Linked DNA regions of Mus musculus: all the other regions are reported to be linked to region 1. The links are microRNA targets in miRTarBase. Many come from high-throughput screens and were not tested one by one. Region 1 holds a microRNA gene; each other region holds the end of a gene's coding sequence.

Region 1 (4,066 bases):
TCTCTGTAAGTTTTCACTGGCCTTCCTAGTAGAAGGTTTGGGGTTTTGTTGTTTTATTTTTGTTTTTCTTCTATTTAAGACTAGGGTCTCAAACTGTAGCCCAGTTAGGCCTAAAACTCATCATGTAGCTTAAGCAGGCTTTTGACTCCATTCTTGGCAACCTTCCTGCCTCAGTTTCCTCAATGCTGAGATAAACGTGAGCCACCAACTGCAACTGTTGTAGTCTGCTTTACAGATGGGGAAACTGAGGCTTGGAAGGCCTAGGGGAAACTTTACTGAGGTGTTATTGTTGGGGTGCATCGGCCTGCTTCTCCTTGCTTGGGCCCTAGGTGGTGTGGGGTGGGGGTGGGGTTATGTCTGAGCTGGCTGGGGAGGAGAGGGCTGAGGTGGGAGGCCCTGGAGTTTCCTCCTGCCCTTCAGGCTTCTAGGAAGTGGCGCCAGCTGGGGTGAGGTCACTTCCTCCCTCCAACCGTCCACCTCCCTCAGCTTCCTCTCCATGGCCCCATTTGGCCTGCTTTGGGCTCAGGGCTGTGGGTGGGGATAGAAGCAGAGTGGGAAGCAGCTGGGAAGGCTCTGCAGCCCCTTTGGCCTTAGGGCTTCAGGCACCTCCCGCTTTGTAGGGCTGGGGTAGAGGCACTGCTGGGTGCCCAGCATCCAGCAGCCTCGCTCCAACCTTCCTACGGATCGATGCTCCTCTTTTTTGGGAATGCTTCTTCCCTCTTGGAAGTAGAGGAGGGCTAGGGTGTGGATCAGCAAGCTGAGTTTAGATTCTGTCCCCAGCACCACTTAAACTGTGTGTGGTGAGGTGTACCTATAATCCTAGACTCCAGAGGTAGAGGCAGGAAGAACTGGTGCATTCGGAAACCTTGTGTTCAGCTATGTGAGACCCAGCCTGGTCAAGATAGGCAGGCAAGCAAGAATGCTCCAATCTCACTGTCTCTTCTTTCTCTCTTTAGGTGCTACACTCCGCTCCCACCTGCTGCCCCCCTCACTGTGCCTCGGACGGCTGGGGTTCCTGGGGATGGGATTTGATGCCAGTCACAAATCACATTGCCAGGGATTTCCAACTGACCCTGTGCTCTGCCTTGGGGGCTCCTGTCGCCAAGGATGTCTGTCTTGGGTACTGGGTAACAGAGAAGCCTATCATGACAACTGGCCTGAGGAGCAGGGCTTAGCTGCTTGTGAGCAAGGTCCACAGCAAAGTCGTGTTCACAGTGGCTAAGTTCCGCCCCCTGGACCCCATCTCCTCAGGCCGCTGCTGCCCACCCTGCTCTGCCTCCTGGCTGGCAGGGCTCTGCCTCTCTCCGGGCTCCGCCTCCCGTGCCTACTGAGCTGAAACAGTTGATTCCAGTGCACTGGCTCAGTTCAGCAGGAACAGGAGTCCAGCCCCCTAGGAGCTGGCAACCCTGCAGAATGTCTGCCGTGAGCAAGACCTGGAAACAATGGGGTAATTAGTCCAACCTAAGCCCCGTTGTCTGCTGGAGGCTCAGCCTCTAAGCCTGCATCTGGGTGTCCACCTTGAGATTTCTGTGGTTCCCCAAAGCAGATAGATGGGCGGGTAACCCTTGCATTAAAAGCCAGTTATGTCCCCTCAGGGCCTGGAAGCCCTTCTTTTCCTAAGTCTGGTGGGGCTCAGGCACCACCCCTTATACATACCATCTTTGAAGTCAGTTACCCAAGAGGAAGCTGCTTTAGGCCCTCTAACGGTTAAATGCCAACTCTCTGCTTCCGGAAGAAGGCACTGACCTGATCCAGTGTGCCTAGCAATCCCATGGGGTCTGCAGCTTTCTGCTGGTGACAGCGAGGCAGGGAGCGAGGTCCACACAGGCCTCAGGATATGAACAGATCCATGCCCCCCCCCCCCATTGGCCTGTTGAAGTAATCTCCAGGCTTGGAAGTTAAAAAGTTGCCTACTACCCACAAATGAGACTGCATGCAGACTAATTGGAACTGGCTGAGTTACACTTCCCAGACCATACAGTGTCCTCTCCCTACTCTGGGCAGGGGCAAATCGAAGCCTGGGTGGAAGAACAGAGTTGAAAGCTTGTATTGAATGTTGTTCTCCAACTAAATAAAAGCTCCACAGCCTCATTCCGTAAGGGCTGACGTCTCTTCATTCCCGCCTCCCACATGTGTGTTGCTGGCTTTTTTCATTTCTCTTGAAACAGCATTTCTGTGTAGACCAGGCTGACCTTGAATCAAACTCCTCCAGTGTCTGGAGTTTGGGAATACCAGCTGCACCACTATATCTACCACACCCTGGGCTCCTAACCTGCATTGCACCTATCCCCAACCTTGCTCCACCTGCTTCTAGGAAGGTGTAAATATAGTTCTGTGGTCAGTAGGTGCTGCGACCTGAAGATCCTGGGATCCTTTGGGGATGGCTTGAACGGGAGGGATAACCCAGACCTGGGGTGTATGAGACCAATCTGTGGTCACCCCAGTTCCATGAGGGAGTATGTTACAAGAATGTACTCTGCCTATGCTGGGATGCACTGACTGGCAAGATGCCAGGGCTTAAGGACGGGCACATATGCGCGCACAGACAGACACGCGCGCATGCACACACACACACACACACACACACACAGGGCTTAAGGACGGGCACATATGCGAGCACAGACAGACACGCGCGCATGCACACACACACGCACGCGCGCGCGCCCGTCTACACACACACACACACACACACACACACACACACACACGCACGCACGCACGCACGCGCGCGCGCCCGTCTGCGCCAGAAGGGCTAAGGGGCGGATCGCCTCTGATCGGCTCCCTGGAGCAAAGGAACGCACCATGAACTATGGCCACACTCATAGTCACAGCCAGCTCCCATAGTGCCCCACAGAGGCAACACACACACACACACAGCTTCCAAGAGAACGGTCCTAAACAATGACCCTGTCAGACACAGCTAAGGACATAAAGAACCGGAGAATGAGAAGAATGCCCAGGCCGTCCGCTGGATGAATCCATCTAAGAACGGGAGTCTCATCCACAGCCCAAAAATGCAATGGGCAGGTCACTGGGGACACAGGCGTCCCCAGCTGCCCTCCGCACCTGGTGAGACCTCCGGAGCTCCGAATGACGTTGTCTGGAGCCAGACGCCCCCTGGTGGTCATTTCCTGCAATGAAGGACAGTGCAATCTGGGTGCATTTTCCAAAAACCTACAGACTCTAGGTTTGGGCGTTTTAAGCCTCCTGACTTGCAGAGATTATGACATGCAGATGGAAAAGCAGTAAAGCCACCAGCAAGAGGTGGCTCTTCGTGTCACCACGATGCCATGAAGAAACCAGCAGCCTCTCCTGTCCCATTCAAGTTGTGCCCAAAAACCGAGATGGAAAATTTTTTGGTTAATTGAGCAGGTGGTAGGTACCCCTGGCCCCGGGTGTTTGTGTTAGCAATGCAACCCAGTCTTGAAGTTAAAAAGAAGTTGTGTTCAATCTTTTTTTTAAAAAAAAAGGAAAAAAAAAGGAAAAGAATACAGTATGGGGTTCAATAAATAAGAAAAAAAGTTACAAAATGATGCCAACTTTTTCCTTAATATACAAGAGAGAAGACAGGTGCGTCTGGGGTGGAGGCTCTCCCTTCTCTTCCTCCCTGGGCCAAGGCCTGGGATACAGGAAGGCCTGTCAGCAGCTGGGACTTGAGAGAGATGCAGACATGGGGAAACTAAGGGAGTGGGGAAACAAATGGAGGTGCAGAGCAAGAGGAAGACAGAACGGGGTCCCTGGCTGTCTGCCTGTGCCTCCCACAACAGGCTGGAGGGCAGCCTGACTCCTGAGTTGTGTATCCAGTTACTAGTGGTGGGGTCTGGCCAGCAGAGAGCTGTCCCCAGCCTACCCTGTGACCTTGGTGCCCAAGAGAAGACAGGCCCTGGCTTGACAAGGGTATTTGGGGGTGAGGTATGTGGCAGAGGCCCAAGACCTCTTAATATCCTTCAGTGGGGTGAGGCATTTGTGCTGGAAAGCTGGGGCTGGGGGCGCAGGGCAGTGGGACAGGAGCCCTGAGCTGTGGAGAGGGGAGAAACACAGTGGGAAGTAACTACCCTGATGTGAA
Region 2 (4,066 bases), not on the chromosome of region 1:
TTGAGCACTTCGCGTGAGTGGGGACACACACCGTCCTTCCTCACTTAGCACACTGTCTCCACATTCACCTCCGCTGCTCATGTATCAGAAGCCCTTCCTGTTTAAGGGGCGTGGATTCACATTTTCATTTTGTAGTCATGTGATCTGCCAAAATTCGTGTGCTTAGTCTGAAGAGGATTTACAAGCATGCTATGACCACCGACTGCTGCACTAATAATGCCTTTCATCATTTTGGATAATCCGTTTGGAGGTTTGACCCTTCTGGTTCAAGACCAAGACCATTCCTCTTCCCTCCCCTCCTGCCTCCCCAGAGAAAGTCAGGTCAGGATGTGCTCTCAGAGACCACATGATGGAGCTCTCTAGCAGTCGCTTGTACTTCCTTATGAAGTGTTCTTTCTTCCAGGTACTCTGCTGACTGCTCATTCTCCAACTCCTGTAGCCCCTCACCCGGTCACTGTCCCCACATACCGAGCCCCAGGAACACCCACCTACAGCTATGTGCCCCCACAGTGGTGATTGCCCTGCAAATTAATGTGAGTATTAGTGAAGGCTGTGGCTAGGTGGGCCCTGCTGAGGTGCACTTCTCTGAGGAGACTGCAAGACTGACTAGATACAAGCACTGGTCTAGTATGCTTGTCTGTCTTTTGATACGGCACAACACTGAGCGAGAGCACCTTGGGGAAAGGAAGAGTGGCTTGGCCTGGCTTACAGTGACTACAGTTACAACCCATCATAACGGGAGTCTGAGCAGGAACTGATGTACAGCCGTGAGGATGGGTGCTGATTGGCTTGCTTCTCCAGCTTGCCCTCCTTGCTCACCTCCCTCCCTTACAGCCTCGGCCCACCCGCCCACGAATGGCACCCTAGGCCTTACCTCATTATGTCATTATTCTTATTGGGACATCCAATAAGGGAAGAGGGAGGGGGGGCATTGAGTGCTAACTGTTTGTCTTGCTGCTTCTGTAGTGCAGTGTGTAGGGCTCCAGGTATAATGGGGCAGGGGGCACAGGGTGTTGCTGTAAGGTGGGTGGGAACCAGGTGGCGCAGCTTTGGGTACCGCTGCCTTCTGGAACTGGTAAAGCACAAGTGCCAAGAGCCTGTCTGACTGTTGTTATTCTTTCCCAGATTTGAGGATGGAGCTGTGCAGTCACTTCATTGAGTTCCACAGCTGGTGCTGCAGGCCTTGTGCCTCCAACCAGGACTTTCTTCTTACTGCTCCGACACTTAGCTAAACATGACTGCGCCCCAGCCCAGCAGGTCCCAGCTCGCTAGTCTCCAACTAACTCTGGGTTGGTTTTAAAGCAAATCCTGTTTTGTGGACTGCCTGGCAAATTTTTTAGCTAACTGTAATGATAAAAAGGGAGTATTACTCTATTCTGAATCATATCTAGTTGAATGCATGTTTATAAAAACAAACAAAAACAAAGCTTGCTCAATCTACCTGCAGTGACTGATGCAAAACCATCATATGCAAAACCCGAAGGACTGGACCACGTTCACAGCCTGTCCTGTCCCTCACGCACCTCTGCGATGTACGCTGAGCCTCAGTTACACTTGTACAAGGGATGTCCTCACTGAAGCGTGGGGAGGACTGCAGGGGACTCTTAGGGGCTGGGGTTGCCAGTTATGGACACAGACTATAGCTTTCAGCAGCCTGGTTTTTTGGCACTGGCTGACTGATCCTGAGGGAGCTGCAGGGACTGGGGGAGAGAGAGCACACCTGCAGCAGCTCCAGACAGCAGCAGCAGCAGCAGCAGGGATGACGGGGTCCCTCTCCTTCATTTCAGCTGGAGTGTGCTCTGCAGAACAGGGGTCTACCTGAAGCTTATCAGGAAATACAGGAGCTTGGTGACGAGTCCAGCTGGGGTGAGGAGTGGTCTGTGTGTCAGAGCAGGGTCTGCCATCCGAGTTTTCTCTGTATGTCTTACAGGATAACGTTCTCTGTATCTGTTGGGACTGTTGGGAAAGTCCATTGTAGAAGTAAACTGTCTTCCTAGGAGGGAAGATGTCAAAGAGAAGCAGCCACACTGAGGCAGTGTTGTCTTTTGCTTTATTTTGCTTAGGGAACCATTCCTTTTTTTCCCCCTGAGAATAACTGAGTCACCTAAAGACATGGGCACTGCTGTATTCTCCCACAAAGACTTCAGCTGTGTGCTGTGAAGAGTGTTGTACATTTAAGACTGGTTACAAGGGAATAAGTGTATTTTTAAGTTAGTTCCTCATGTTTCTTGTAGAGAAGCAGGGCTGTGATGATGTGTAAAAATGTAGAAATAATGTAGCTTGTCTTGGGGCCATTCACCTGAGGATGCTCTCTGTAACTAGCGGGGTGAGGCCCGGGAAGCCTGCGGAAACCTGCGGAAGCCACTCTGCTGTCACTGAAGGCACTCAGTACCAAGCAGATGTGGAAAGCAGAAAGGGCCAGGCAGTTCAGGAGTGCTCTTGCTTGGAAGGCTCTGTGGTGGGAAAGATTTTGAGTGTGTACATAAGAAACCACAAAAGTTCTTTCTGCCTGAGTGTGCCCGACTTGAATCTGTGAGAGTGTTTCTGTTCAGTGTGGGTCAAAGGGCAGGGCACGAGGACCTCTCTGGGCTCTGTCAACTGGGGGTGAGCTTTGTATCTTTTGTCAGCCCCATTGAATTCCTGGGGCTTTGGTTGGAAGGGGTGCTTGTCTCTGGCAGCTAAGTCAGGGCTTCCATGTTGGTGTAGAGGTTGCCTCAGTAGCAGTCAACTTGGCTAGAGGCTGGGTCACCTGAATATGGAACCTTCGGTGACCTTATTTTTATAGTAATGCTCTCCATAGTTTTTTTTTAAGCATTTTATTTTTTGAGAAGTTTAGGAAGGTTGCTGCATGGATCAGTGTGAACAGAAGATTCCTCATTCCTTATGTCTATGAACATAGAAAGTTTATGGATGATTATGGTTAATTGCCTCATGAGCACTTAGGTGTGTGTGTGTGTGTATGTGTGCGTGCGTGCGTGCGTGTGTGTGTGTGTGCTTGGATGTGCGCGTGCATGGGGAGAGGGGTAGCACCAGCAAGCACACCCTGCACAGAGATAGACACGCTTGCTGGAGCACACAGCCTGCACCCGTACTTCCATGTTGGGATCCCGTCCCTGTGCTGAGTGACTTGCAGGGTTGGGATTTCCAAGTTTTCTCTGGACTCATCAGACAGAAGGGGATTTCTTTAGAACAAATGTACCTGTGATTTTCACGTGTTTGAAAAAGTCCCCTTATCCATCCCCAACTAAACATGGCTATCTCCCTGCCTGGAAAGGGTAGAGTTGTTTGCCTACAGCAGGAAGTTACCAAGTCTTTGAGCCTACTTGCAGCAACACACAGTGTGTGTGTATGCACAGGCCCTGAGTTCTCAAGAGAGAGGGAGGGGCTGCTGCCCTCCTGCTGATCACATCAGCCTCACACACTTGCCCTGGAACTGTTGAAATGGAGTGACTACCAAACACCTCTGTAGTGTACAACTCGGCTGGGTGGAAATCTTGTCTGTTTTGAAGCTATCAGGTCATCACTGTGGGATCTGCTGGTGAGAGAGCTTACCAGGTGAAAATCTGGGTATATGGATGGTAGTGAACTGTCACAGGGGGTGACTTTAACAACATTCAGTTTCAGTAAAAATAAGGAACAGAATTGGGTCAGTATTCTACTACATGGCTGTACAGGTATCCCAAAACATTGAGGAACATTCCAAGACAGTGTGCTTTCTATGAGTGTGACATTCCTGACTAGAGTCCTTCAGCTGAATTGACAGGCAGGCAGAGAGTCTGATCCCTATGGACACTGACATCGTTGTTAAGGAGATATATAGATATATCTATATATATCAAGTTTATTTTCTGCTGCCGTCCCTGAGGCTAGGGGCCTTCCTTCCTCGGCTGCTGCTGCTTGCAGTTTAGAGTTGTGGAGTATTGGAAACTGTAAGCTCCTTGACTCTGGAGAAGCAAACCCACCACCATCAGGATTGGGTCAGTTAGGCTACAGGCATGGAAGCGGCCTCTGCAACTGTTGTCTCTGTGTTGTGGTCTTCCTTGGAGGAACTGTTGAGTGGCTGTTG
Region 3 (4,066 bases), not on the chromosome of region 1:
AGACCCAGAAACTGTCTAAAATAGAGACACTGCGCTTGGCCAAGAACTACATCTGGGCTCTGTCAGAGATCCTGCGCTCAGGCAAAAGCCCTGATCTGGTCTCCTTCGTACAGACGCTCTGCAAAGGTTTGTCCCAGCCCACTACCAATTTGGTCGCCGGCTGCCTGCAGCTCAACCCTCGGACTTTCTTGCCTGAGCAGAACCCGGACATGCCCCCGCATCTGCCAACCGCCAGCGCTTCCTTCCCGGTGCATCCCTACTCCTACCAGTCCCCTGGACTGCCCAGCCCGCCCTACGGCACCATGGACAGCTCCCACGTCTTCCACGTCAAGCCGCCGCCACACGCCTACAGCGCAGCTCTGGAGCCCTTCTTTGAAAGCCCCCTAACTGACTGCACCAGCCCTTCCTTTGACGGACCCCTCAGCCCGCCGCTCAGCATCAATGGCAACTTCTCTTTCAAACACGAACCATCCGCCGAGTTTGAAAAAAATTATGCCTTTACCATGCACTACCCTGCAGCGACGCTGGCAGGGCCCCAAAGCCACGGATCAATCTTCTCTTCCGGTGCCGCTGCCCCTCGCTGCGAGATCCCCATAGACAACATTATGTCTTTCGATAGCCATTCGCATCATGAGCGAGTCATGAGTGCCCAGCTTAATGCCATCTTTCACGATTAGAGGCACGTCAGTTTCACTATTCCCGGGAAACGAATCCACTGTGCGTACAGTGACTGTCCTGTTTACAGAAGGCAGCCCTTTTGCTAAGATTGCTGCAAAGTGCAAATACTCAAAGCTTCAAGTGATATATGTATTTATTGTCGTTACTGCCTTTGGAAGAAACAGGGGATCAAAGTTCCTGTTCACCTTATGTATTGTTTTCTATAGCTCTTCTATTTTAAAAATAATAATACAGTAAAGTAAAAAAGAAAATGTGTACCACGAATTTCGTGTAGCTGTATTCAGATCGTATTAATTATCTGATCGGGATAAAAAAAATCACAAGCAATAATTAGGATCTATGCAATTTTTAAACTAGTAATGGGCCAATTAAAATATATATAAATATATATTTTTCAACCAGCATTTTACTACCTGTGACCTTTCCCATGCTGAATTATTTTGTTGTGATTTTGTACAGAATTTTTAATGACTTTTTATAACGTGGATTTCCTATTTTAAAACCATGCAGCTTCATCAATTTTTATACATATCAGAAAAGTAGAATTATATCTAATTTATACAAAATAATTTAACTAATTTAAACCAGCAGAAAAGTGCTTAGAAAGTTATTGCGTTGCCTTAGCACTTCTTTCTTCTCTAATTGTAAAAAAGAAAAGAAAAGAAAAAAAACCAACAAATTGCACAATTTGAGCAATTCATCTCACTTTAAAGTTTTTCCTGCTCGCTCCCTAAAATAGAAACCAGACCCATAACACTCAAGAGGATGAAAACCGAAATGCATTCCTTATCAAAACACATCAATTCATTACTTGCACAAGCTTGTAAATACATATTATAAATAAATGCCAACACACACTCCTTTAAATCAAAAGCTGCTTGACTATCACATACAATTTGCACTCTTTCTTTTTAGTCTTTTACTTCTTTGAATTCCATGATTTTACGGAGTGTTTGAAGATATTGATGTTTCCAGAAAATATAAATGCATGATTTTATACATAGTCAAACAAATGGTGGTTTGTCATCTATTCATGTAATAAATCTGAGCCTAAATTTATTCAGGTTGTTAATGTTGGGTTTTTATACCTGTGTAGTCAGTTAGTACAGTAGTTTAAATAAAATTCAAACCATCGAATTCATAATTAGAACAATAGCTGTTGCATGTAAAATGCAGTCCAGAATAAGTGCTGTTTGAGATGTGATGCTGGTACTACTGGAATTGACATGTACTGTAATCTTGTTTGTAATCCTGTGTATTATGGTGTAATGCACAATTTAGAAAACTCCCATGCAGTTGCAATAAAAATAGTATGGAAAATCAAAACAATTGTTTCATTTCTTTCGAAAGTGGATTTTAAAGAGTAAAATTGTAGCGAGGAGGATCAACGTCTGTATTTGCTGAGTTAAATGTTAAACATTAGGAATAAAATATAGAGTTGAGCTTGTCCTGTGCTTAGTCTGTTATCTTGCTTAGAGGGTCACTGGCTTCTCAGATAACAAACAGACCTCGCCTCTGTTTTATTATTTGGAGTATTGAGCACAGAGTAAGCTGGACAAAAAACTCTGGTTTTCTAAAGGTGAAACGTCTTCACCTTTACTCTCTTTGTTTGTTTGTTTGTCTCTGTTTGTTGAAATGATTGTTAGAAGTTTCTTTTATTTTTCAGGCGGATTTACTTAAGTATTAACTAGCAAGACATAAGCAAATACCTTAGTTTAATTTGTTTATACATATTTAAAGCATAAACAAAATTGAATATTTTCTCACTGTTCTGTTATCTGTATCTTTCCTGAACTAGATAGCTTTCTTTCAAACAGTCCTGCACTCCAAACTATATATCTGATATTGTAGGAAAATTATTTAATTAATTGAAAGGCTCCCAAAAGATGAGGCATTTTATAATGGTTCTATTAAGTGTTTGGGATGTCTTCACTAATTGTTCCACTAAAGTGCTAGTGAGCTTTTGGTACATAAGTATATACTATTTGTGTTCTATTTTAGGAGTGTATATTACTCCACAGTTTTCTGTACAGTCCTGCTATTTTATATTTTGATTTTATAAACACACACACACACACACACACACACACACACACCACACCACACCACACCACACCACACCACACCACACCACACCACACCACACCAACTTAACTTCTGGTAAGTCTACTTAATAAATAGTTTGGCATTTCCCTTCCCATGAGAAATGACTGACAGTCTTGATTTTTATGGAATAGCATTTTGGCAGTTGTATTGTCTCTACTGTGATTCTGATTGCTGTCATTGTTCCTTCTCTGATTCGGATACCACATTGGATGCCTACCTCCCTTGCAAGCATGTTCCTTTAATCTCCTTCTCGTTGGTGGCTTAAGGGTTCCAGAAAACTGACCTTATTTAGTAAGCTGCTCCAGAAAAACGTGAGTAATCTAATAGACAGGAACAATTAGCCATAGTAATAACGTTGCCAACGAGGCCCCATCAAGCTGTGACAGTAGCAGTAAGGGATATTTCAACATTCAAAAAAATTAATGTAATTTAAAATAATGTTTTCTACCAGCCTTTATCACACACAGAAATACATTAAAGCTGGTCCCAACTTTACCCCAAATGTAGTTGTCTCTTTCCAAGTGAATCAGAGCAGTTATTTTGGAATCAAGCTGTTGCTTCCTAGCCTGGATTTTTCTCACCATTGACTTTAGGAGACACAATACTGATAGCAGAATCCTTCAGCCTCCCAGCACAGGAAACCATAAAGTGAACATTCAGATCTGATCTGATCTATTAAGCAGCTCAGTTTCACCTGTAATTAAAATTAGACATCTCCATGCAAACTAAAAACTGTTGCTAGAGTCAACAGAAGAACCAAGGGTGGTGTTTCTAGAATCACAACATTTAAAATGGGAAGCAAAAGAATCTAGACTATGGGTTTCATTAGAGGTAGGCGTGAAGGATGAAGGCTCTGCTTCACTCTTTTTCTTTTTCATTTTGTGTGTGTTTAAAATTTCACTCTAAAGGCGTAGGGATTCTTTCAGTCAGTCAGGGAGTAACTCACATGCCACCATCTTTTATTCAAAGGCAGGCACAGATGTTCCTTCTGCAGGGAAGGTTTTAATTTATGAAAATGATATTGTTTATGCATGAATGAACTGCATGCACCCTGCATAACGCATAGCACTTCCATCTGATCAGAGAAATACCACCAAACCAGCGCCAATGTCAGAAACATATTCTACACATTTACTCACTCAAATGTTTAATGAATATTTGGAATGCATTTTCAAACCATAAGAAATCTTTTAAATTATCTCCTTCATTTCTTTTATGAATTGTTAAGCACATTTTAAAGATACTTTTACAGTCTTTATGTTTGCTTAATCCTTATGTGAAG
Region 4 (4,066 bases), not on the chromosome of region 1:
TAATAATTGTCACATTCGTTGTGGCTTGACAGCTTAGGAGTAGGTATAAATTTTCTTTTTATGGTTCAGGCATGGGCCAGGTGGAGATGTGCGGACTGATCGTTTTGTATACTCAGAATCTAGAATCACTTTGAAGGCTACATAGACGGACTAGTGTCAGTGGCTACTTTTAAATGCATTTAAAGTCTGTTATTACTTTTAAGGAAATAGGCTACTTTCTAGGTTTTGTACTGCCTTTTCAAAACTCACTCAGAAATGAAGAAATTGTTGGGCATGGTGGCACATGCCTTTAATCCCAGCACTTGGGAGGCAAAGGCAGGCAAATTTCTGAGTTTGAGGCCAGCCTGGTCTACAGAGTGAGTTCCAGGACAGCCAGGGATACACAGAGAAACTATGTCTTGGAAAGAGGAGGAGAAGAAGAAGGAGAAGGAAAAGGAGAAAGAAGGAGGGGGAAGGAGGGGGAAAGAGGGGGAAGGAAGAAGGAGGAGGAGAAGAAGAAGAAGAGAAGAAGAAGAAGAAGAGGAGGAGGAGGAGGAGGAGGAGGAGGAGGAAAAGAAGAAGAGGAAAAGAAGAAGGAGGAGGAGGAGGAAGAAGAAGAAGAGGAGGAGGAAGAAAAATTACTATGTCCAAGTAGTTTTAGACAGCACTGTTAACTCTACCCCCAACCCATTTTAAGACAGGGTTTCCTTGGCTGTCTGGAACTCACTGCAGTCCGGGCTGGCCTCAAACTCAGAGATATATTGGCCTCAGCCTCCTGTGTGCTAGGATTAAAGGCACGAACCACCATGGCACCATAGGCAGCAAAAAGTCCTTTCTAAGAAGAGTGGGCAGATAAAGAGGCCAAGGCCATAACTCCTGTGAGTGCCTTTATGTGGATTTCCTTAATAATTCTGTACTGCCCACTATAGCTTAGGTGTTTGCAGACAGAGATGGTGTTCTGAAAGACCCCTTTGTCGAGACAACTGAAATTAGACTGTCATGAGAGTGGCACTACCAATAGTGTGAATGACCAGGAAAACGTCTTCTGTTAGCAGTTAAGGACAGTCACATCATTGGATTATGTGTCTATTCACTGAATTTCACTGAATTTTGTTTTGTTTTTCCAGACAGGGTTTCTCTGTGTAGCCCTGGCTGTCACTCTATGGATCAGGCTGGCCTCAAACTCAGAAATCCACCTGCCTCTGCCTCCCAAGTGCTGGGATTAAAGGTGTGCGCCACCACGCCCAGCACCGAAGTTGAGTTTTAAATTAGGGCTGGGGTTATAGCTCAATAGAAGAGGGCTTTTGGAGCCATCACTACAGAAAACAAATTCACTTCTGATTGTTTGGAATTCTGTGATTTAATTACAAGCACTTAGACACACCACACACTGAGCCTCTCTGCAGGGGGTGCATTGCTAAATCTAGGGTTCTAGTTGATGATTGTCTTGGGTACCAGCCATCTAAAGTTCAGTTTTTTAAACCAAGCTAGGTGTAAGGGGCAGAGCTGAACATGGTGGCCAGTGGCACACACCCATAAGCCAAACGTTCAAGAGGCAGAAGCAGGAGAGTCGTACATTTGAGGCCAGCCTAGGCTACTCAGTGAACTTCTTTCTCAAAGGACAGAAAGTGGGGCAAATGGTGTCCCCGGATTCACCTGGGCAGGTGTGTCCTAGTTGTTTGCTTTCAGTGAGCTGAGTCAAGTTTCTAACAACGCATGAGATTGATTTAGCAGCAGTTTGAAAACAACTGATAGGACATGGATCTAAATGCTGGTCTATAGCTTACCAACCTTTAATGGCTCTCTCGGGATACCATCTTTGGCATGTGTCATGATTTTCTATATCATTTAATTCCAAAGACTTGAGAAAGCAGTCATTTCTCAGCTTACCTGTAAAGCCTCATGCATCCTTCAGGTGCTAGCTAGTAAATGTGCAGTTTTAGGGTTTCTTAGTAGGTGGCATTATAGCCTCTTGCCACCCAGGCTCTACTACCATGGACAGATCTTTTGTGTGCCCTGCACCATGAAATAGTCTTTGGTGTCATTTTTGCTCATCTTGTTGGTGTCACAGCAGACAGCATGCTGTGTCTTCTGTACAGACTGAGTTCTGAGGAATTCTAGGTATTGGAGTCGTCAAGGAGAGTAAGGAAGCAGATCATTCCAGAGGAGATACCCCAAGAAGGAATGGGTACAGCATCCTTTGGCTATGGATGAGTAAAAGCAAGGTAAGTCTTTTCCATTCATCATTTCATCCAAAGCACTACCTTTTCGTGAAGCCCTCGGCCTCAGCAGAGGGATTCATGCATGGCTTCCCGGGGATGAATGGTAGATAAAATAGCCCCAACTGTGGTCCATATCCTTCACAGAATGTTACACAATGCAAACCAGTGCACCTTTAATCCCAACACTTGGGAGCCAGAGGCAGATAAATCTCTGTTCGTTTGAGTTCAAGGCCAGCCTGGGCTACACAGTGAGATCCTGTCTCAAATAAATATATAAGTAAATAAATGAAAGATTGATGGCTCCTGAGGATCGCACCTGCGTTTGGGCACACTCGGGCACACTGTGGCACACACACATACACACATTCTACATTGTTATCAGAATTCTTCAAGGTAAACTAGAGCAAATCCAGATGTAACAAAGTGTTGCCTATGAAAACAAGCCTAGAACCACACTTTTTTTTTTTTTTTTCAAAAATTGGTCCCCAGAGTGAGTGAGTCCAAGGTTTCAAGCCTTTAACATATTCATGTGCTCAGGTGCACACAGCTCCTGTCTAGTGAGGGAGGCTCTTCCCTCAATCTCTTCAAACATGAAATTGCAGGGCCACCCTGGGAGATCAAATCCCACATGGAATTCCTAGGATGCTGGGTTATTTATGCAGAGGACTCCGAGCTGGTGAGCTTAGTAGGGTAGAAGCTAACTTCCAAAGTTGCTTAGAGGATTTGTGATAATTTTATTTAAAAAGTAAAACTAGACCTGGTAGTAATCTATATGCACCTGTAATACCAGCAGCCAGGAGGCTGGCTAGGGAGCTCTAGGTCAGCCTGGGCTCTGTCACTCTGTCTAAAGGTTCACCACAGGTCTGGCACGCGCAGTTTGTTCAGGAAGCTGTTATATACATTCTCAGCCACTTGGAAGTCCCCTTTCACTCTTTTTCACCAAGGGCAGTTGGCTTGTGTGTCATTAAAGAACCTCCCACAACACGATGAACAGGAAGACGCCAAGTACAGAGCCTTTATTTTACATATTATTTCCAGAGGGCAGTGCTTAAAGTGAGCAGCCAACAGAAGATAAGAAATGACAGCAAAGGTAACTGGCTCAAGTCCCTCCATGTAACCATGTACAGCACATGTCTGAGCACCTTGTATGTCTGGCTTAAGTGCAGGTAAGGCAATATAGATTGTGCAAACAAGATCTGTGTCCTATGATCAGGAATGGCTACTACATGCATCACACAAAATGTGCAGTCTGAAATGTCTGGATCTGAACTAAGGTTTTCTCAAGCAGAGGTGTGTGGGGATGATTAAATGGCTGACACAGAGAGAGCACGATGGGTAGAGAGGACAGATAATGTGGAGGGGCGGTGGGGTCAGCACACTGATCAAGAGCCCTACATAGGAGGAGCCGTCCCAGTGGCAGAGAGAGCAGGCTAGGACAGAGCAGGGGCCATCTCCAGCCACCTCGATTTCCTTCCTGCCTTCACTCTAAGCTGAGCAGCTCCACGTCAAAGATGAGGGTGGCATTGGGAGGGATGACACCGGGGTGGCCGGTAGCTCCATAGGCCACATCAGGGGTGCAGGTCAGCTTCGCCCTCTGCCCCAAGCTCATCTAGCAGGGATGGGGGCAGATGGGGAGAGGAGAAAGAGGACCCAGCTTGATTTAAAAGAAAAAAGTAAGATAACTATGGCATTTCCCCCAAAACCATCTTTAGGGTAATTCCAAAGATCTGAGATTAATTGTATTGGGGGCACACTAAACTTTAGCTAAGATCTTAAACATGCAGATTCTGTCTCAAAATAGCCCTGACTATAGGGCAGTTAACAGCCACAAAGTAGCCTCAGCCTCATCCAAGCAACCAGTGTTA
Region 5 (4,066 bases), not on the chromosome of region 1:
CAGTTTGTCTAGTGTTGTACTTGTTTCCTATTCTCTGTGTTCCTTTCCTGTCCTTGGGTGTGATAAATACAACCAAGAGCTGATGTTTGTGGTTGAGCGTGAATTATACTGTTGATGCTTTATGCAGGTTATCTTACTTAATTCCTGCAGTATTCCTGGGAAGCAGGTGCTGTCATTTGTGTCCCAGGTGAGAGGGAAGCTCACAGAGCCTCTGCGCTAGTGAGTCCTTACCCCAAGTTGTACCCCAGTGGGCCTGACTGTAGAATCCAAGTTCTCTTACATGAATAACACCAGAGCAGAGCAGAGCAGAGCGTCTTATTTCCTATTGATCATTACATTGGCTTGCATTCTTGGGAGTGGGATGATTGGGTCAGAGGAGGGGTCTAGTCTGGCTAAACTTTGACCCCTTTTCACCCTTCTGCCACAGCGCCTGCCTCCAGCACCCTGAGTATGCCAGCAAAATGTCCTTACCAGGTTGGTGAAAACTGCCTCAAGGTGAACCGTGTGGTCCTGCTGAGCCGGCTGAGTATCTGAAGACATCCTTAAGACAGCCATTTTCAGCTCTCTACTAGCTGTCTTTGGGGCTGGGCCTCTGGCTTGAGAAAACATTAGGCCAGGTGATGTAAGGCCAGCAAGTTGGTTCCTGGGATCCCCAGGTCTGGCATAGTTGGATAGTTGGCATTTCTACCCCAACACTGATGTAGTTTGACCCCAGTGTCAGTATAGAACGGCTCACTGCAGTTTCATGATGAAGGCAGGAAGAAGTGGGCTGTCAGCTGCCAGCCCTTAGCTGCTCTAAGATGTGGGGAATGGTGGTTACCATGTGATGGCTGGCCCCTTCCTCTTCCTCACAACATTTTGTGCAATCGCCTGTAGAAGAGAGCCTGTAGGTCCAAAAAGAGGGGTGGACGGCAAAGGAAGTAGTTGGCAAGGCACACCCAAGGGCCCTATGCTGCTGGCAGCTCGGGCTTGGAGCTCTGCATGACACTTGAGGGCCTAAGAAGAGCTAGAGAAATGGAATTTACCAAGTCAGGGAAACCGCAAATCCCCGAGAGTCTTGTGTGCTGCCTGGCAATGAAGCAATTGACCAGCTACCATGCTATCTCTGCTGTTGTAGGAAGCTTGGGGCACTAGGACAGGGAAGGCTGTGCTTCAAAGTTTGTCTCCTTTCTTAGAACTCTGCCTTTCTGCTTAGAAGTGGAAAGGTTGTTGACTACTGTGTGAGGCTCTGGGGCCAGCCTGAGTCTTGTAGACCGTGGTCCTGGTGATGTGGGCACTGACGATGGAGCAGAGCCTCTCATTCCCTGTGACACTGCAGATGGAGCTGATGTTCAGAGCCGGCTCCTTTCCCTTTCATACTTAGAAAGTTTCTGTTAAGATGAGAAATAAAGCAACGCAAGTGTGATTTTGGTCACGGGGCCATATACAGCTACACCAAAGCCCTCTCACCTATAGTCTGAGTGGACACAGTGTGGAGGAGCCTCAGGCAAGTCAGGTCAGAGACGTGTGATAGGACGAGAGAGGTCTCCAGTCTCCACACCTCGCCTTGGCTGTGGAGTTGCACTCAGTGGTTCACAGAGTGGAGCTGTATTCTGAAATTCAGAAGGCATTCAGAGAATTTGAGAAGGTATGAAATCTGGATGAGGCGCGCCTAGCGCTGGGGCCTTGATAGCTTCATAGGTCAGAGCATATAACCACCAAAAGAGAGGATAAGACTGGGAGTGTCTGTGAAACCTTTAGGGATTAAGTTGGCAGAGGACCCTGAACAACCCTTTGTGACTTAGGAGAACAACTTGAGCAACACTGGAGGGCTGCTCCTGAAAGATGCTGCCCCTGTGTTCTGGAACCAAAGAAAACCTGTATCCTGCTTTGGTGGTTTATCTGTGTGCATCCCATGGGTGACTTCTGAGGCATGGCTTACATACCTTGAAGAACTGCAAAACTGAGGAGGGGGAGCTGCAGCACACTGATTGTCACCTTTGAGGGACTGACCAACGAGGAGGTGACTGGAGTCTGTAGACCATGTTCCTCGGGTCCCATCTCAAACCACAGCAGTTGGAATGTGGAGAGACACTTCACCCCACCCACCTCGTGGCAGACTTGAGGGTGTAGCCTCAGAAGGTAGTACTCTTATGAGTATGTGGAAGGGTCAGGAAGGCTTTACATTCTCTTTCAGGCAACAGAGGGCTTGTAAATGCCCAGTGGAAGAGGTCACTGAGGAGCAAAGACAGCAACCTTTGGTTGTATCACTATAATAATTTGGGTTGGATGAATTCATAGAAGTGAGCCAGAGCAATGTTTCTGATCTTACGTTAGCAAAAAGAATAAAATACAAAACATTGAACTTTGCGTTGCTTCAGCTTGTTTTCATTTGGTTCTGCATGCTTTGGGAATTGCCTCCAGCCAGACTTTAGATGGAGTGATGGGTGGTGCCTAAGGTCATCCGGGGCTCTGAGGCCTGGGCACTGTATACAGGCCTAAAATTCACTGTGCAGCTAAACTGGCCTTAACTCCCAGTTCTTCTGCTTCTGCGTACTGAGCCGTGGGATTACAGGCATATACCTCCACCCCATCTTTCACTCCCTTTATAGGTGGGGAAGAGGTTCTGGCTGATGTCCGTTCTGGGTTCTGAAATGGAAGACCAGAAATGGAGACTAGCCTAGGAAGTGAAGAGAATGTGACCCTTTTCAGTTTTCCCATCAGGCCAAGAGTGATTGACTTTGCTTGAGTAGAGTTCCCACTAGGCCCATTGGGAGATAGGGGGGGAGGGGTGGGATCTCTTGCTGTTTGTCCTAACAAAGGTGAATTTGCACCTTTGACTCTAAGATAAGTACTTAAAGGTTGGTAAGTGGGGCAGTGGAGGCACACGCCTTTAATCCCAGCACTTGGGAGGCAGAGGCAGGCGGATTTCTGAGTTTGAGGCCAGCCTGGTCTAAAAAGTGAGTTCCAGGACAGCCAGGGCTATGCAGAGAAACCCTGACTCCAAAAAAAAAAAAAAAAAAAAGGTTGGTAAGTGAATTCTAACCTTAAGGTTACTTTTGTTTCTGTAGCAAGAGGGACCTCCTCCTCCACCCCCTTTGATCCTTAGGTACTTCTGGTCTTCCCAGGACAGACATCAGCCCACAGCTCTTTGTCACCTATAAAGGGAGAGACAGTTGAATGTGCCAGTAAATACCTGGAACCCCAGCATTCAGGAGGCAGAAGCAGTGGTCAGCTTAGCTACACAGAGAATCTAAGGCCTGCCTTGGCATTAGATCTCTGGTGGAGACAGTTAAGATGGAACGTGGTGCTGTGGCTCAGCGGGTAAGAGCAGTGACTGCTCTTCCAAAGGTCCTGAGTTCAAATCCCAGCAACCACATGTTTGTTTACAACCACCCATAATATAATAATAAACAAATCTTTGGGCCGGAGTGAGCAGGGTTGCCCGGAGCGAGCAGAGGTCCTAAAAATTCAATTCCCAACAACCATATGAAAGCTCACAGCTACCTGTTCAGCTACAGTGTACTCATATATATAAGTCTTAAAAGATGGAACAAGTCTTTGTTCCCTTTTATCTTTTCTAAGCATGTGTTTAGGACTGGTAGTTGGAAGAGGCAGAGACTCGTTGACTTCCTTAAGTGGGACTCATCAGCTCCTTGTTTTGAAAAGGTTCTTGCTCAGCCCAGACTGGCACAGAACTTATATAACTTCCTGCCTTCTGTATGCTCTTAACTGCTGAGCCGTCTCTCCAGCCCCTCAGAATTAGATTTTTTTTTCCTGTTGTCATAGGACTGTCTAGTATGGATTCCTTGATGGATCTCCATCTAGCAGTTCAAAATCCAAAAACAACTCCATTGACCTGAGCCCATTTAGGAGCTAGCTCTTACTGCATCCAGTCGCCTAATCCAGTTCCTACTGAGCCCTTCTGCTGTGTGGTAGTGTAAGCCGGGCATGGTGGTGCACACCTTTAATCCCAGCACTCGGGAGGCAGAGGCAGTCGGATTTCTGAGTTCGAGGCCAGCCTGGTCTACAAAGTGAGTTCCAGGACAGCCAGGGCTATACAGAGAAACCCTGTCTCGAAAAACCA

What was found. The annotated mature microRNA mmu-miR-24-3p reads UGGCUCAGUUCAGCAGGAACAG and lies in region 1 at 1,357-1,378, shown strand. An mRNA with a match to its seed (bases 2 to 7 or 8) in the 3' UTR can be bound and repressed. Matches are read on the target gene's strand: a 7mer-m8 pairs with bases 2 to 8, a 7mer-A1 pairs with bases 2 to 7 and ends in A, and an 8mer does both.
Region 2: the mRNA of Fam168b is a reported target of mmu-miR-24-3p. Seed matches in the 3' UTR shown: 7mer-m8 at 1,538-1,544.
Region 3: miRTarBase lists Neurod1 as a target of mmu-miR-24-3p. Seed matches in the 3' UTR shown: 7mer-m8 at 1,723-1,729.
Region 4: miRTarBase lists Fkbp1b as a target of mmu-miR-24-3p. Seed matches in the 3' UTR shown: 7mer-A1 at 3,297-3,303.
Region 5: the mRNA of Kansl3 is a reported target of mmu-miR-24-3p. Seed matches in the 3' UTR shown: 7mer-m8 at 514-520 and 7mer-A1 at 2,284-2,290.

What each region holds. Positions count from the first base shown.
Region 1 is chr8:84,207,519-84,211,584 of GRCm38, forward strand. It overlaps Mir24-2 (microRNA 24-2), which reads left to right and starts at 1,297; the gene lies at 1,297-1,403. Zswim4 (zinc finger SWIM-type containing 4) reads right to left here. Exons shown (of 14, transcript NM_172503.3): 14 at 3,424-4,066. It overlaps Mir23a (microRNA 23a), which reads left to right and starts at 1,000; the gene lies at 1,000-1,074. Mir27a (microRNA 27a) reads left to right here and starts at 1,154; the gene lies at 1,154-1,240. It also overlaps Mir3074-2.
Region 2 is chr1:34,814,464-34,818,529 of GRCm38, reverse strand. Fam168b (family with sequence similarity 168, member B) reads left to right here. Exons shown (of 7, transcript NM_174997.2): 6 at 404-533; 7 at 1,126-4,066. The coding sequence ends at 516. Among named protein-coding and RNA genes, the nearest start is that of Gm32790, 24 kb to the right of the region's middle.
Region 3 is chr2:79,450,575-79,454,640 of GRCm38, reverse strand. Neurod1 (neurogenic differentiation 1) reads left to right here. Exons shown (of 2, transcript NM_010894.3): 2 at 1-2,004. The coding sequence ends at 677. Among named protein-coding and RNA genes, the nearest start is that of Neurod1, 4.0 kb to the left of the region's middle.
Region 4 is chr12:4,829,986-4,834,051 of GRCm38, forward strand. Fkbp1b (FK506 binding protein 1b) reads right to left here. Exons shown (of 4, transcript NM_016863.4): 4 at 3,191-3,810. The coding sequence ends at 3,682. Among named protein-coding and RNA genes, the nearest start is that of Fkbp1b, 9.6 kb to the right of the region's middle.
Region 5 is chr1:36,334,013-36,338,078 of GRCm38, reverse strand. It overlaps Kansl3 (KAT8 regulatory NSL complex subunit 3), which reads left to right. Exons shown (of 22, transcript NM_001310513.1): 22 at 428-2,349. The coding sequence ends at 448. Among named protein-coding and RNA genes, the nearest start is that of Mir6898, 13 kb to the left of the region's middle.